Linked DNA regions of Bombyx mori. The protein of the gene in region 2 purifies or fractionates together with the protein of the main gene of each other region. This does not show direct contact. Links are inferred from orthologs where the notes say so. Each region holds a gene or a part of one and is shown on either strand. Other genes may lie near its edges.

Evidence for each region. Proteins that work in one complex are often made in the same cells at the same time.
Region 1: the proteins of splicing factor 3B subunit 1 (region 2) and small nuclear ribonucleoprotein protein F purify together in Homo sapiens (co-immunoprecipitation; 3 studies listed by BioGRID and IntAct, counting the BioPlex papers as one, with this or other methods). This does not show direct contact. The link is inferred for Bombyx mori from reciprocal best matches to the Homo sapiens genes SF3B1 and SNRPF.
Region 3: the proteins of splicing factor 3B subunit 1 (region 2) and coiled-coil domain-containing protein 97 purify together in Homo sapiens (co-immunoprecipitation; 4 studies listed by BioGRID and IntAct, counting the BioPlex papers as one, with this or other methods). This does not show direct contact. The link is inferred for Bombyx mori from reciprocal best matches to the Homo sapiens genes SF3B1 and CCDC97.

Annotation. Positions count from the first base shown.
Region 1 is NC_085117.1:15,789,584-15,795,492, forward strand, and holds small nuclear ribonucleoprotein protein F, read left to right. Parts: upstream 1-2,541; 5' UTR 2,542-2,619; intron 2,620-2,701; 5' UTR 2,702-2,712; coding exon 2,713-2,887; intron 2,888-3,545; coding exon 3,546-3,637; 3' UTR 3,638-3,934; downstream 3,935-5,909. Other genes in the region: RAB6-interacting golgin, read right to left, coding at 112-565, 1,078-1,156. UniProt on the Homo sapiens protein: Plays a role in pre-mRNA splicing as a core component of the spliceosomal U1, U2, U4 and U5 small nuclear ribonucleoproteins (snRNPs), the building blocks of the spliceosome.
Region 2 is NC_085116.1:8,398,568-8,405,362, forward strand, and holds the start of splicing factor 3B subunit 1, read left to right. Parts: upstream 1-2,088; 5' UTR 2,089-2,937; coding exon 2,938-2,965; intron 2,966-3,438; coding exon 3,439-3,707; intron 3,708-3,780; coding exon 3,781-3,907; intron 3,908-5,164; coding exon 5,165-5,244; intron 5,245-5,469; coding exon 5,470-5,661; intron 5,662-5,768; coding exon 5,769-5,958; intron 5,959-6,795. UniProt on the Homo sapiens protein: Component of the 17S U2 SnRNP complex of the spliceosome, a large ribonucleoprotein complex that removes introns from transcribed pre-mRNAs.
Region 3 is NC_085118.1:10,064,765-10,070,497, forward strand, and holds coiled-coil domain-containing protein 97, read left to right. Parts: upstream 1-2,563; 5' UTR 2,564-2,645; coding exon 2,646-3,689; 3' UTR 3,690-3,758; downstream 3,759-5,733. Other genes in the region: ATP-binding cassette sub-family C member 10, read right to left, coding at 1-571. UniProt on the Homo sapiens protein: May play a role pre-mRNA splicing through the association with the splicing factor SF3B complex which is involved in branch-site recognition.

The DNA.
Region 1 (5,909 bases), on a different chromosome or scaffold from region 2:
AAAATGCAAGTGTGCCCAAAAATTAAGTTAAATTAAAATTAAAAAAGTATTTGTTAACCATAATTATTCATAAATAATACTAATTTAAATTAATTAATTCATCAATCGAACCTGTCAGCTAAAGCTTTTGCAATCATTTCCTTTCTTTTCTTATTCTGTTCTTCCATAATCTTCTGTTTGAGTTGCAATTCTCCTAACTTCACTTTGTGAGAGGCCAGTTCATGTTCTGTATATTGAAAATCAACACCTCTCACTATGTCCGGAGCAGTACTACTCCTTCTACTACTTGTCATATCACTCTTGTCTGCTTCGATAGTATCTACTTGTACTTCATCATTTCCCTCTACATTATTTTGCAAAATAACTTGATTTTGTTTGTCCTCCTCCATTTTAGCATTTTTGGAGGGTGACGTTGGTGTTTTTAAACTAAGCTTACATTTATCAAAATCTATGCTGTCTATTCCATCGTCTGAATCCTGTTTTTGATTAATGGCTGTCTTATATTCATATGGCTTGGTTTTCATTGATAATTTAACTCGTTTTATATTAGAATTTTTTATGTACTCTGTAATTAAAATGGTAGTTGTTATTAAATGTAGACTGTCTCATAGGCAGTAAAAATTGTTGCATTACACACACCATTAATAATAAGGTTGTGCAAGGCACTGATATAGGCCAATCCAATTGGTGGATTATATGTTACTGAAGTAGAAATTATAGATATCTAGTAGATACGACTATGCTTCACTGACATTTGTAATAAAGAAGCAAATTTGTGATCAATTTTACTTTTTTTTTACTTTAATTTTGCTTGCACAATTTGGCTTCAGTGACTTTTATCATTTATATTTTTTCTTGAAACTCTTAGAATCATTTGGCAATCATTATTATTTAGAATATAGCTAATTTTCTTGAAGAAGCTTTGATTTATACCCAAAAATCGTTCTTAGATCTACTTATATATGTTGAGATATTAATATTTCAAATTCTAATCGCATGCGCTACTATTTAAAACTCTGAATAAGCGTTCAGTTATTGATATGCTTAAAAAAAGTATATTTCAAGCTCCATACGTACTGTTTTTACTCTCATCGGCAGTTTCGCCAGATTTAATTCTTTCCAAGTCATCTTCACTAAAACCTGTAAATTGTGACATGTTTTATTTGTTTTTACATAGATATGTCAGGGTTATGTTTTTCATATAAGGTGCATTAATGTAAAAAATTGCAAAACTCATAGATAGATCGTAAACGTAAAAATCTATATTTTCATTGATTCAACACTGATTCACATCAAATTTTTACTATTCTGCAACACTACTTTGACATTGACTATTTGACGTTATTGGAACTTTTTTAATCACGTTAGATTGAATTCTGGTCTTTTAAGCCAAAAACCCATTGAAATAGTGTTTCGCCCATTTAATTATTCGAATCCATTTAACATTTATTTTAACAATATGTACATTTTGTCTTTAAAATGGTTTGGTGTTATAGCTCTACTCTCAGCATAAGCACTTCAACACACAATGTTGAAGTTCTCGTTTTCTATTCCCAAAATAGTTTTATAAAAAAACCGACTCTACTTTCAATTATTTGATGGTTTTTAGTTAGGCCAAAGATCGTTCATACCATCTTTAATTAAACAAACTTATCTAAATGTTTTTATTGCTAATATATAGTTTTATGGAAGCTTTTCACATATTTTTTCTTCTCTTCACATTTTATCAATAGCGAATTCCTCCAAATACGTTGAGAACTTTCAGCTTAGGTGTGTCGTTTTAGTCGCTACAAGCCCTTCTCTATTAGTTAAACATATTTGAAAGTGTAAAAGATTGTGGAAATATAACAAAATCACTGGACCTGACTTCTCAGGACTTTATGTTTATATAAATTAAAGAAAATAATTACCATTTTCTGTAGTTTTTTTTTCAACTGGGCTTCAATAATAATAAGATGAAATACATACTATTATTAATTTTTTACTACATTTTTTTAAAGGGATTTTATGACCTGGACTAACTAAAACTTTTAGGTCAAGTCTTATTTTAATTTTATGTTACGTAACTTTTTTATATGAAAATTATAGAAATGAAATGAAGTTGAATAATATGAAACATGGCATGAAGTGAAATGAAAACGAAATGAAATGAAATGAGATGAGATGATATGGGATGAAGTATAATCTCAGTAAAATGGTGATCATTTACTGAGACTTTTTCAGTGGACTTTTTGGAAGATCTCGAGAACTTACGTTCAGTGGCTTTGTTTCGTTTTCCCACATTTGTGCACTTTCACAGTTACAGTTAAGCAGTTAATAAGCCACCGTTATTACACATTTAAACCTGAAGAAAGACTAATTAGACAAAATAAAACAAACCACTCCTCGCGTTCCCGCCGAAAAGTCCTAGAAAGAACTAATTATAATAAATTTTAAACTACCTGTGTTTTATCTATGGTGGTGTATTATCTATGAGTAGCTGATGGCCGTGTTGCAAATTCAATGCTTTCATAAATAAAAAATAAAAAAATATCTATGAGTAGAAATTAGCGTCGAACTCGAAGCGAAGCCGATACATTTTGAGGTTATATTTTGTATTTCTTGTTAGCCGATATTAAAGTAAGTACTGATGTTTCTTAAATAAGCAATGAAAACAATAAAGGTGGTTTGAAAATGAATTAACATCCAATTTACTTTTTAGAACCTGCAAAAATGGCGGCTGCTATGCCAATAAATCCCAAACCATTTCTTAATAGTCTAACGGGTAAATCCGTGCTAGTTAAATTAAAATGGGGTCATGAATACAAAGGTTTGTTAGTATCAACAGATGGCTACATGAATTTGCAACTTGCTAATACTGAAGAACTTGTCGATGGAACTTGTACAGGTTAGTATTTAAGTGAACAACTTTAAGTAATCACGAAAACATATTAAAGCAAGAGATTAAGATCTACTGGTAGTGGACCTGGACCAAAATTGAATTAAAAATGAGACGTTCATTGTTTGTTTGGTCTATTATGAGTACACTATTCTGCACCCATTTCGACTTCAAAGCTTTCAAGCATTCTGCTTTGAAGAGTAGATTTAATATTCATATTGTAATAAACTTATAAATTCTAGAAGCCACTTAACACTAAATGTCATGGGGTTCATTTGCCCTTTTAAAGAAAAAAAAAGTACTTGCTACAAAGAATGCACAAAATCAATAAATTTCATAACAAGAGACAACTTGACACTTACAAGATTCCAAACCAAACTTTTTGGTTGTGAATAGTTTTGTGAATTTAATTAATTTAAATTAGTAAATAAAATTTAGAAATCAAATCTTAACATTTAAATATTTTTTTTTATATTTTTTTTTAAGAATCTTTTTTATTGTAATTCAGTCCATGCTACATCAAACTTAATGAAGTCATATCAGCAGAGTTCTGTAAAGCTTTAACGGCGTTTGTTTTGAATACTAGTTCAGTTAGTTCTGTTAGTCCATACATACAAAACACTAAATTAAGAACCCTATTAATTTAAGTATTGGGTTTTATTTCCAGGTAATTTAGGTGAAGTTTTAATAAGATGCAATAATGTCTTGTATGTAAGAGGAGCTGATGAAGAAGATGAAGAAGGAGAAATGAAAGAATAATTAGTAATTATTACATAAGTTAGAATAAGGAATTATCTTAAGAATAACAGGCAAAAGGGAAATTTTAAGCAAAAAAATAGAAATTTCATATTACTCTGTTAGCAGTAAAATTACCTTAGGTATATATCCCGAAATACTAATGATTGAGGAGAAAAATGTTAATTGGAACTATTGTTGTATACAATGTTTAAATGAAACAACTTTAATACTTTTTTTTTTTTAATAACTATGTCTGAAACAACCTCTTCAGCATGAATTCCATAACTTGTATAATTAATTATAAGTAAATTTTCACCATAACCTTGTTTTATTTTCTCAACACTAACTTTACAAGAAAAGGTTTGCGATTTATATTGTCCTTGCAAAAAATGAGCATGTGAAAACAGGGAAATATATTGAAATCTAATGATCTTCAATGTATTTTACCCCATTCCTTCTTGCTCTTTTTTGGCCTTTGGGTATTAGATTCCAAATTCGTTTAAAAACACAACCTCATTCGCAAAAACAATTTTCATTTAAAAAAACTTTGGTTCTCATTCTGGTTATGATTTGAAACTAAAAAGTAAATAATACAACCTTATTTTAATATAGTTAAAGCTCTAGAAGTGACTAAAAAGAGATGCATATTATTTTATAGTATCTAGTCTGTGAGAGAACGAGATAGAAAACTCCTACAGGTTACACTTCTACATTTTGCGAATTGCTGCACACTTTGTATTGCTCTGGATGAAGAAAAAAGCTGACTGCCTACTTGGTATTAAGTAGTTGCCATAGCCCACTACATAAATCATCACTCATCTTAAGCCTTGATGCATGAGGTACAGAATGCAGGATAGTGATATTATCTCATTTATGCTTATCCTGCATTCCACTTAGAATTACGAACTTATAAACATTGCCCATTCGAATTTGAACGCCTACAGGATAAGCTATTGATTGTGGAAGTCGGTGAACAAGCATTAGAACATATTTAGAGCAGACCTAAAGACAGGTCACAAACTAATGTCCTACATTAGTCTATCGTGCACGGATGACTGAAATTCTTATAGTCCATTTCGCGAGACAATAGTACTCTTAATGTCAGGGCAATACCAAAAAAAAAATTTTGGTTAACTGTAAAGTCGGTTTACGGACGATAGTTTTACACGTTAAAGTCAGTAGGAGAACTATTCGAACTGCTAGTTCTGACGTCACGCGACATAAATGTGTCACAAGCCAACACTTGGGTCGACTCTGGTCACCGTCCTCGTCGAACCCGTCGCTTGCGACGAAGGGCTCGACGAGCGAATTAACCCATAGACACAGCCCACTGAGTTTCTCGCCGGATCTTCTCAGTGGGTCGCGTTTCCGATCCGGTGGTAGATTCTGCGAAGCACTGCTCTTGCTAGGGTCAGTGTTAGCAACTCTCCGGTTGAGCCCCGTGAGCTCACCTACAAACCTTAGGGTGAAGCTGAAATAGCCTCTCATGGCTATCAGCATAGGTAGGGAAAAAAAAGGGCCGATCGTGCCTCTATCGCATGTTCCGTGCTCTCGCTTGCACGCTCAGGCGGAACGTGACATTTTTTCGTGCGTGTAGCCAATACTTATCGATTAATCACGTCAAAATGCTATCCCTCTGTCTTGTATAAGTATTTGTTAAAATGTGAGTGGGTAACATAATAAAACCACTGTAATGAATAAAATGGTTTTATCAGATTTTTCAAAAAATCCGCCTAAGACTCGGCACAAGATGATACGATTTCGCTGAAGACAGATACGATTTGAAATCTTCACGACTTTTGAGAGGATAAAAACAGCGTCGAAGACACCTTCTTCGACAGTAAAGCGAGAATGCATCAGCCCACTGAGTTTCTCGCCGACACTTCTCAGCGGATCGCTATCACAATGTCGTTATCGATTCATTAGCGAAACAGCTGCTCTTGATGTGTTAGGTTTGCTATGAAGAAGTTCAGGCAGTTGTTAATACATTCTAGATTTATGAGAAACACCCATTTATTAAAAGAAATCGAGCGCCACCTCTCGTTATTTTGTGGTACTATGAACCTTCCCTGAAATACCAACAACCACTGTTTACATCTTTCAACTGTTGTGTATAACTTTTATATAGTATCTTGTAATGTGAAAATACTACTTACTGAACATTCAATCAATTTACATTTCCGGAAAGGGATTAGGTAAATCCAAAATAATAATCACAAATCGAAGGTTTGAAATAAGTAAATTTATTGTACATAAAGGACATAAAAAAAAACATAATCATTTAAAATCTGTA
Region 2 (6,795 bases):
ACATCTACCTCGGTCTACTATCTCAATAATTAAAGGATCTAGTGACGAGATTAAGCGACGGTGCGCCATCATCAAGTCGGCAGTCAAACAGCTGGGAAAGATACAGAAAGATAGGAGGATTACCAAGAAAGCTAAGGTCAGATTAATGAAATGTCTTAAGTTTGTAATATTTCTCTAATAGACTTCTATATCAACTAAACCAAATACTTTTAAGTTTTAAATATTGATTTTCTTTCATAGTTTTTATTTACTCATACTGGCCGTTTTCCAATTACAGCACAAGAGCGCATTATGCGGCATAATGCTCAACTAAGCTCTGTAATTGGAAAACTACCATTAAGTAATGGTTAATTACAGAGCATAATGTGACTCAGTGACGCACAATGCCGAATTATGCTGAAGCTTAGTTGAGCATTATGCCGCATAATGCGCTCTTGTGCTGTAATTGGAAAACAGCCACTTTACGCCTTAAGCTTAACAATCTTAACAAATAAATCTCATCTCTAGTCTCGAAACCTTTTCTATTTTTTTAAGTGATTTTATAACCTGGTAACTAAGACCTTTAGGTCAAATTTTATTTTTATTTTAATGAAAACTGCACTACATAATATATGAAAAATGATAATACGAAGTGAAATGAAGTTGATTAATATGAAACATGGCATGAAAAGAAATGATATTAAATGAAATGAGATGCGATGATATGGGATATAAATATAATCTCAGTAAAATGGTGGTTATTTACTGAGACTTTTTCGGTGGACTTTTTGGAGGATCCTGAGAAGTTACGTCCAGTGGCTTTGTTTTCTTTTCCCATATTTGTGCACTTTTACAGATACTAAACAGTTAATAAACCTCCGTTATTACTAGGAGTGGGTAATATCGGTTTTGCCGCGTATCGAATCGTATCTATATATCGAGGATTAATATCGGATATTGAATCTATATATTTTCTGAATCTATATATTGATGGATGCTAGTAGATTTTCTCGATTCATGATATTTGAGATTTGAAACGATACGCTGATATAATATCGTAGTAGATATAGATTTAAGTCAACGTTATACGGTTGGTTTTCTGATATCAATTTATAATATGATTTTAAAGTAATAAAAAGAACATGAAAATAAAAATATCAAAAAAACTTTCCTTCATGCTTTTATCAGGCTTAGCTACTAGGACTGGCTACATTATTTTCAGTTTTTAGTATTTTGTATCTTAATTTAAAATTACAAAATATACCAAAAGAGTGTAGATTTCAAAAGTTTAATACAAATACAAGAAATAAACTAAATTATTTGGATTCAACTAAAAATAGAAAAATGTGTACTTTAAAAATCAAACACAAAAAACTTTTAAGTATTTATAAACACTTGTCCAAAAATTGTAGTTCAAGGTCAAAGCGCGTGAAATTAAATTCAACGATGCAAATAGGCTATACTGCATTCAAGTTAGGGTTGAAAATTGAAACTTCTTTCCTAAATTGTATCCTGCTGATACGCTAAGAATAATCTACAGACATATGGACTTAAATATAAGGTTTACAATTGTATGGATAATGCCTGTTTCTGTTTCATTCATCACATGATATCCCTATCGTGCGCTCACTCACTCTGGCCGGTTCGATACGAACCAAACGAATATTGCCGATATTCACGAATCGGTACGATATGCCGATGCGCATCACATCGAGTAATATCGTGTATCGGCTGATATCGTTATATAGATTTCGATTCACGAATCGGTACGATATGCCGATGCGCATCACATCGAGCAATATCGTGTATCGGCCGATATCGATATATAGATTTCGTGCGGGGCGATATCGGATTCAACGATATTGCTGCGATATATAGATATTGAATCTAGATACGATTTATATCGCCCACTCCTAGTTATTACCAGTGGTCGGAGTAGGTAGATTGATTTTACTTACGTCAAGAGATACTTGCGTCAAGAGATTATAATATGGACATGCCATTTTATCCATAATGATTATTTTTTTAAATTGAAAAAAAATATGTTTTTAATCCTCATCGGATACAATTTCTATATTTAAAAATATAGAATATATATGCTTTAAAAAGGCCTAAAACATACTTACATAAGAAAATTATTAAAGCTTACCTGAACCAAAATAACATGAAGTAGAGATCCAATCTAAAAACAAATCGATGTCCATAGATACAAGCCAAATTCATCGTTTTAAGAAGGTACAAGAAATCAGTCAAGAAGCCAGGGTGAGATTATTATTTACCCAACACTGAAATTTCACAAATTAGAAGCGCACTACGAACCGAGGTAAGCGAGTGAGATGCCTGAAACACAGCGTGCGCGCATCGTTTTTTCTAACAAACACCCAATGAGTCACACAGGTTGTCTAAGTTTTGTCTCATACTAACAAGCGTCATTTCTAATTCAACAGAAAGGGACAAAATACGGTGTAACTATTCCAAGGTGCTTTTGTATAAAATAAAATACTGATATTATTAATACGTTTTTCACCTTAAACACAGATTCATGCTTCAAAATTCCGGAACAAATATCACAAAAATATGAAGTTCCGGTATTTTGGAGGCCTATCCATATTGTCCTCTACGTTTGACGTCAACAACCTTAAATCAATCTACCTACTCCGACCTCTGGTTATTACATATTTAAACCTGAAGAAACACTAAATAGACAAAATAAAACTAATCACGCAACTTCACTCCCCGCGTTTCCGCCTAAAAGTCCAAACAGTTTTCTATGAGAAATGGAGTTCATTTTCCATAGGTTAGGAAGAGGTAGTATGTAACTACCTATGCATAAAATCGGACATAGTCTGTGTTTACGAAAAAAACTCACGCTACCTATCTAATAAATCATCGATAGAAGAGAAAATAATTTGATTTCATTGTCCGTAAAGTTGCATAAATGTCTACAATCTTCTAAAAATGGATAAAATACCAAGAACTCATGAAGGTAAGGTTGTCTTCTAACATATTGATTTGCGTACAATAACAGCCATTTTATTATTATTCTAAATGTGCTTGCTTAAAAGTGTAGCTTGAAAGGTTTTTCTGTAATTTACTCAATGTTATAGCCATCAGATATCAAATAACATATGATTTCACGCTTAAGTCCCCTTAAGCTTGCTTGAAATCCTTTTACCATAAAACTTCTAGTTTTTGGGTCACTTCTGTAATATTTATCTTTTCTAAATTTGAAAAGTTTTGTTTGATCTATCAGTGGCTTTAAGTTAAGGCAATAACAAAATTAGACGCTAAACAATTTATTTATTTAATATTTTATAACTATCGATTCAATTTGTGAAGGAATGATCACACTTAGGAATTTTCGATTTGTCCTGACTAGTTCATTTACATTGGCTGACCTATGAACTCTCATTAATGTTAAATGCTTAAATAATATTTAAATTGCATTGATAATTTTAGCCATTGAAGCACAAATAAAAGAAATACAATCAAAAAAAACTGAAGCACCAGAAAATGGTTCCAACAAAGGCGTGTCTCTCGGCGAGACTTACTATGACAGCGATATATATGATAGCACAGGCCAAGGAGGCAAGTCCAGATATGACGGATATGTGACATCAATTGCTGCTAATGACGAAGTAGAAGATGATGACCTCGAAAATGTTCCTATAACTCAGAAAAGGCCAGGATATACAGCACCTGCTTCACTGTTGAATGACATTGCACAAGTATGTTGAAATGAATTGTTAACTGCTATACATAAATTTTTGTTAAAAATGTCATCTAAAAATATTGTTTTAGAGTGATAAAGAATTCGATCCTTTTGCTGACAAACGAAGACCAACTATCGCTGATAGAGAGGATGAATATCGACAAAAGAGGCGCAGGATGATTATATCACCTGAAAGAAATGATCCTTTTGCAGAAGGTTGGCTAATTTTAATTTTTTTCATTAATCTTCAACAATTGTACACACGCTCACAGATACACACCACACACAATACTATAATACAATTTATCAAAACTACTATTCTGATTTCCAATCTTACACTTCTTTCTCATGTAAGGTTGACATTAGGTAAATACTTAGGCAGATTAAATCAGGTTAAAATATGCAGTGCCTATTCTAACTAGTGGCAAAATATATAGACGTGAGAAAGCAGAAATGTTGTAACTTGCACTTTGCACTAAATCACTTTGTACCATATCTAATATATAAAATTCTCGTGTCACAATGTTCGTTCCCATACTCCTCCGAAACCGCTTGACCGATTCTCATGAATTTTTTTATGCATATTTAGTAAGCTTTAGAATCGGCTACTATCTATTTTTCATACCCCTAAGTGATTAGGGTTGTCCACCCCTAACATATTTTTTTTATTTTGACTTTTTTTTTGTTATAATGAGGTATTATGTGGTTAAATGAGGTTTTGTTATTTTTATTATATATTCCCTCATCATTCACAGCACTACATACCTCTTTCACTCATTTACCACATCCTTACACACTTACAATAAGTTAGTTTTTTTTTCTACACTAGAAATTCTCTAGAAATGTTATATATGGCAAAACAATGTTTGCCGGGTCAGCTAGTTGTATTATATATGTAAGACTCTGATATAAAGTTGGGTTTTTCAAGTTATGACAATTCCACTTTCTTCAGTCTATATCTTTAAGTAAAACTTTACAATAAAATATATTGGTATCTTACACACATATCTATAAGCACTAGTAATCACTAACCATTAGGCAAGCACCATTCTGGGTCTGCTATTGTAATGTTAGAATTTTTTAGATAGGAACCGTTTCACTCCTATGGGTAACATAATATGTATAGTCTTATATTATACATACATAAATGTTCTTTCTATTCATAGTACCTTTTGGCCATTGGTGCAAATAATTTGATGCAAACAATAAAAATTAATTAATTACTTATATTTGGCATTTTTAATCCTTCCTTAAAATTTAGAGATGAAGAGAGTTAATATTGTTTCATTTACACTCATTCAATTACATTAATTTTCACAGTCAACATTTTTAAACACTACATGTGCCTTTTAAGCATCAGGGGAAGGTAATTTTTTAAGTATTATAATTTGAAAAATGGTTAGCTTCACTTGTCATATCCAGTATAGATACACACACACACAACATGTCTACTAATCTTAACATTTACTTCAGGTGGGAAAACTCCTGATGTCGGATCGAGGACATACACTGATATAATGAAAGAGCAGTATCTTCTTGCTGAAGAAACAGAAGTGAGTTCAATTTGTTTCCAGAGTTTAAGTATTTTATAGAAACAACTATACATCTTGCTTTTGCAGTAACCCTTAGCATCATATGGGTAATTTTGAAAGTAAATTATGAATGGAATTGATAATTCTAGGAATGGAAATGTTAATACTAATAGTAATACTAGGAACTCTAAATTGCCTAATATCAATCATAATTATTATTACTAATTAAAACGAATTTCTTTACAGCTCAGAAAGAAACTGTTAGAGAAAGCTAGGGAAGGAACTCTCAAACCAGTACCACAATCTAATGGAGAATCCATAAAACCAGCAGCAAAACGCAAAGGTAGATGGGATCAAAGTTCTGAAGAAACACCAGTTGTTAAGAAAACAGTATCAACTACACCAAGCTCACAGACAACTCCGTCTTGGGATGCTGAGGTATTTAATAGATAATTTAGGTTTTAAAAATATGATTTTAGATTGATTGAACCAATCAATCGAGTAGTATTTAAAAAACTTGATGACATATATTATTCTATTGGTAGAGAGGCACATGGGAAGAAACTCCGGGAGCAGGTCGGGGCGGCGAGACGCCCGGTGCCACGCCATCGGCACGTGTTTGGGATGCCACACCAGGACATATCACTCCTGGACACGCCACTCCGGGGCGCGAAACTCCGGCTCATCACGCTTCTCGCAGAAATCGCTGGGATGAAACACCAAAAACAGATAGAGGTTCTAAATATTTTATTAGAAAATGCTCGTCTTATTATCTCGTAAGAATAGATATCATCACCCTGCTTATCTCTGCCGCGAAGTAGTAATGCGTTCCGGTTTCATGGGGGGCTAGAGCAGCCATTTTGCTATAGAATTGAGATTAAGAACTCATGTCTCAAGGTGGGCCACCATCCACGGCATATACGTCGTTCATATAGGTAGGCCGTGAGATCCTCAATATGTCCAAGTAACAAAATTTATAATTACACTAATATATTAAAACACTTTTTGGAAAACTACCTTATGATACCCCATTTTGATGTTGCTCATTTCAAATGCAGTCCAATAAACGTAAATTCATAATGTACTGAAACAAAATAATTCAATACCACTTCGTAAAGACTATCACTGTTAAGTTAAAAATCTTAATATTAATTAACCCAATAAAACCGTTCATATACTACCCATACGACATTTATAGGCCTCATATATGGAATAAAATCTGGATTGGAAATTGCAGAAGTAGATTTCACAGACCTATATTTGCTTATTAGCGACTAATGAAACACGGAATGGCTCCGTCCTGGCTGTCGCTAAATCTATTAGAAGTACCCTATGTGAAATTACTCGCGCGCCACACGATGTTTGTTTCTCACACTACGACAAACAGTACAACTACAAATCCAGATAAAACATACGCGAATTTATAACTTCACAATCACTTACGTATTAGATTTTTACAATGTTTTTTTTTTATATTTTGCATTAGGTAACCCTTTGCGAGACTAATCTAATGTATGAGTATATGTCCAATACGTGTGGAAACCGGACCTCAAAGGGTTAAATATATTTTCA
Region 3 (5,733 bases), on a different chromosome or scaffold from region 2:
TTGGTCGTGAGTAATTTGAAGGAATCAGAGTTAAAAAATACAGTACGTGACAACATAATGCAGCTGTATTGAAACCTGTTTGTGAACCAGAAATGATGTTGCTACGGAGAGCTATCAGGTTTAAAAGAACTGTACAGCACCATAAAAATAATTGCATTACTGGACCTCGAGAGCTACGCCCAAGACGGTGTTTCAATGCTAAAACATATCCAAAGTGCACCAGCCATGCTAAACAGGATGAACCAGCAGCAAAATAGTCTACTGGATATAGAGTGAAGTCAGGTTTGGTAGTAAATATATATATTTCTATGATCGGTATGAAGGCTAAGCCTAAAACAACAAAACTTCGAAATATTATGGCACGTTCTTGAGTTTTTTCTCGTATCACCCAATCTTTTCGATATCCAACAAAATACCCTGATACTATAGCTATTATAAAGTACACTGGTACTTGTAAGAATAGCTCTTGAAAACACACGCTGAAGTCTTTCGTGGCATCATTCCATGGATGAAGCCCTCCAGGCCCGCACATATCTTCCCATTTCCAATTTATATTCAATATAAAAGACATTCTGGTCTTCTATTATCTCTACGATGTTCCGCAATAAGTCACAAGGGCACTGTTATAAGATTCTACTATTTAATTAGAAAGGGTAAGTATGTTCTTTGTAGATTTATAAATAAAACACAATGAAACACGCAACTAATAACCATTTTTCATGTTTCGTCTTTCTATTGTTGATAATTATTGTATTTCTACTGTACGTATCGTAAGTTATCAGTTTACTGTTTAATTTTTATCTTTTTCCTTTTATTTTGAATAATATTTGTTGATTTGAACAAGCACTAGTTTACTTCTCATTGATTTGATGTTAAAAAGTTCAAAATTAATAAATCATCAAAAATAATCAAAATTCAACAACGATGACACTGATGACATATTAAGTGTATAATCTATGCTGATGACAGTGAAAGCGGAGTAGTTTTTTTAAAGGGATTTTATGACCTCGTAACTAAGACCTTTAAGTCAAGTCTTATTTTAATTTATATTCTTATTTTTATGAAAATGATAACATCGAGTGAAATAAAATGAAATGAAGATTATTAATTTGAGACATTAATCAACTGGGATGAAATTAAATGAAATGAAATGAGATGATATAGGATGAAATATAATCTCAGAAAAGTGGTTGTCATTTACTAACATTTTTTTCAGTGGACTTTATGGAGGATCCCGAGAAGTTATGTCCAGCGGCTTTGTTTCATTTTCCCACATTTGTGCACTTTCACAGATATTAAACAGCTAATAAACCACCGTTATTACACATTTAAACCTGAAGAAACACTAAAAAGACAAAATAAAACAAATCACACAGCTTCACTCCTCGCTTTCCCGCCAAAAAGTCAACATAATAGCAAATAAAAAATAAGACAGATTAGTAAAAACAGACAGTATTATCTAATAGGTTGGGGAAAAAGTATTATCGCATTATAGCATGTATGAATAAGCAGGCAAAGAGCGTGGCTTATACACGCTAGTCTGTCGTAGTTATATTTTTTTTATGTCATTAAAAAGCCGGTGTATCTCTTTTTATTGCTTTTTGGAAGTTTTGACGTCAACTCGATGAATAGCACATTGAGTGAGCGTGAATTTCCGCAGACCTTTTATCTTGAAAAAAAGACAGTTATGTTAGCCACAGTTTTATTCCAATGTCCCAACCATCGTGAACAACGATTATTGACATTTAATACACAAAACAACACCCATTTATATATTATACATCACAATAAACTATTAAAAAAACATTAAAATAAAACTTCAAGTGACGCTTAACTCGGGTTGCTGCCAAAACTCTGATCATTTAAAATAAGAATAGAGTAATGGTAGGCCATTGAGATTTTTACTAATGGAATCATTAACATCTAAAAATATTAAATAATTCATGGTTTTAAGTAATAATTATTATTACAATATATAAATATAGAATTGAACAAAAATAAACTTAAAAGTCTGTGAATTATAACCATTAGCAATTTTTTTTAATTTATTGTTCAAGTCACAGACAACTCTTTCGTTTGGCAGTATATACTTTACTAAAAGGTTTACTATAAGGCTGTATGGGCTAAACCCTTTGCCTATTGACGAATTTAAAAACCATGGCACTTAGTTTTGGGATGTTATCAAATAAGTAATTTATTTTTTTGTAAAACAATGCCAGGGTGAAAGAAATGTTGATACATAAACTAAACAACGTGAAAAAATAAGACATAGTTTTTCAAGTACAAATAGTTTTGACATAAAGTTGGCCCACTTTTGGGCATTGTCCTTTCTATAGTAATGGGATCATGTCTCTACCTACAAGATGGCAAAAAGTTATCGAACAAAATGGTACTTGCATACTTTAGTTAAATGTAAATAAACTATTTTCCTATATTAAAAAATGTTGTGAATTTTCTTACAAAATGCGAAGAAACTTTTCTCCCAACCTATTATGTTACAAATACTAAATAGCTTGTGCTATATATATAATATCTAAGATTTGGCTTTATGGTGTAACACTTTTGCCTTTCCAGTTGGAAAAATAAAACTACAAACTACTACTATTATGCTCTACATAAATAATTATTACTAGAGATTTATTGTTATGACAATGGAAAAAATCAACATTAATTTAAAAAATAAATTCAACGAAAGTGAAGTGAATCCTGTAACTGATATCATTGACTACCTAGTAAGAAGTGCAAATATATCCTTTAAGAATTCCCATGCTAATGAACAACCGGTAAGGACATGTGAGAAACTGCAAATGGCCCTTGAAATTTATAAAAGATCACCTGTAGAATTCCTCATGCAATTCGGAAAATATTTAGCTCCTAATCACATAAAATACTTTGAAAATATCTCTAGCTCCAAAGATCAAACATTTAGGAATTACGTGCACTATTTGAGTGACTATCATTCGGAAACAAGCAGACGCAAGAGGATAAAGAACAGAAGATATAAGGCATTACAAAAAATGAAGATTAAAACTGATTATTTTAGTGAAAAACAAATGATGTACAGAAATCCTCTTTTATATGAACAGTTGGTTGGGCAATATTTAACAGATGAAGAAATAAAAGAAAGAGATCGAATAACTGAAAACGCCAGTTTTCTTAACTTAATATTGGAAACTGTAGATCACAACCACATGAGAGAGGTGAAGAATGTGCAAATGCTCGAAGAAGGTATTCATGAAACACCAGAAGCTTCTGAATTTTCTTTGAATGATAGTACTAATGAAAACATAAATTTTCAACACAAAAGAAAATGGGGTGAATTCACTACCCCAGATACGAAACCTGACTATATTCCAGAAAACAGAAAACACAGAGTTATTAGTGCTCCAGAAAAGAAGTTATTGTATGATGAGTTCCTTCAAGAAATGTATAGCAGCTTTATAGATGGTAATGATATTGACATTGATTATAAAACTATTGATAATGATGAGCAGTATGATGATTTAGAGCAGGAGTCACAAGATGCAGAAGATAAATATTTTGATTCTGAAACAAATGATGTTGAGAACTTAGAAGAACACATGCACCTTGTAGAGGAATATGGTCAAAGTAAAATAAATAATCTTGAAAAAGATGACCCTCTTGATGTGTTTATGGAGCATATATCTAAGAAGTTTCAACTGAATTAAATGATTGTTTACTAATATGAAAAGTTCAATAATATTAAAGTAATTATAATCTTTAGGTTAATTTCCCAACCAATGTCTTTTCTTTTCTCATAAACCATCAACATTATTATCAGTTAAAGTTTCTGTCTAAGTTCAACTAGTAAAAAATGAGATGAGAGATTATTTCATAAGATGCAAAACACTGCTCATCCACACTATTTTCACATACTTTTTTGTTGTGTACCATCCAATTTTGGACTCTTCTGAGCACTATAACATATATTTCTTTAAATGAGGTTTGAAAAGAATCCTCAGCAGTAGGTAGTGACCAAGCGATGTACCTTTGAAGTCACAAGCATTAGAATGAAAAAAATAATTCGCAATAAAAAGTGATAGTATTAAAATACAGAAAAAAATCAGATCGGTCTGTCTTTAATTTTGAATAAAGACTATTTTTTATATTACTTTGTTATTTGTACTGAACAAAAATTTTTATTTTCATTGCAGTAAGCTTAGGTAAGAGTTTTTGGTTGACAGCAACTTGCCTGCGTAAAATAGCAGAAGCACATAGGAATGGCTAGTACTTATGATCAACAAGATAGGTTAGGAATATTTATTGTGTTCATGTGAAGCAGGGCACCTAGTGTTGAGTGGTTACTGGAATCCAAAGATGTTACAACGGGAATGCCACTACCCACCTTTACAATTTCATTGACAATAGTGTGTCATCCACAGAAATGAATTAAATTAACGTGGCTCTGGTAAGTTTGATCTGAATGGCAGATTGGCTCTCTTTTTTTTTGCCTGTAATATTTCCCTCATGAAATAACTTAATTCCAACATTTATGAATCATAGGGCCAAAATCTAAGACATGTGGGCTCCCATATAATGTTATGACACAAGACAGTTTTTTTTAAAACCTCGTATAGTCATATGCTCATCTGTCAATAAGCGCAATAAAAACAATTGTTCGGGCCTAAAGGATAAGAATTTATCATATCATTCAGATATGATAAGATTTTTTTAATGAAATACATATTGACACATATCCACGAATATTTTCCACAATACAAGCAAACTGGCGAAAATTATAATTTGCTTTACTAATAGAGCGTCGATAAGCGTTCCGGCTGGAAGAATGGGACAGTCATTACACAATTTGGTTTTCTTTAGCTTAACACCAGGTGGGCAGTGAGCACTTTCAACCGTTAATCTAAAAAAAGTAGTTAAAAAGTGTATGTATGCAATTTTAAGTATAAAATATATCACTTATTTACTGGTGGTAGGACTTCTTGTGAGCCCGCACGGGTAGGTACCACCGCCCTGCCTGTTTCTGCTGTGAAGCAGTAATGCGTTCCGGTTTGAAGGGTGGAGCAGCCGTTGTAACTATACTGAGACCTTAGAACTTATATCTCAAGGTGGGTGGCGCATATACGTTGTAGTTGTCTATGGGCTCCAGTAACCACTTAACACCAGGTGGGCTGTGAGCTCGTCCAACCTAAGCAATAAAAAAATTATTAGTGATCTCGCGTCAGGTACAGCCAAAATTGCCATCCATTTTTTGTTTCCGGACGTTTCTACATCCTGTTTAAGTCACATTTGATAATTAAAAATAATTTCATGTTAATAATCCGGAGAAGCCTTGATATTGTTCGCTATCTATTTATGCAATTGTTACACAATATTAGTCGTTAAATATAGAAATGTTACATAATATCTTTATTAAATATAGAAATGTTACACAATTAACTACTTTCTTACTATAAACGTATCGAATTAATCGTTTGAAACAAGGTATGCGTTTCACTAACGTCACTTTTCGTTTGCTGTTGGACACTTCCTCTTTCTGGCACGATCGTGGTATGCATACCTACTACGCTTAAAGTGCAAATTTCACATTATACCTACGCGAAATGATTTAGAAATAGCTGAACAATCTAACACTACCTGCTACAAACACTAATACACTATATAGTTCTGTCCCTTAACTGTGTAATGTAGATCATACGGATAGTAATAAGGCGTGACCACCGTTTCATGTTGCATTAACTTAATAAAATATTA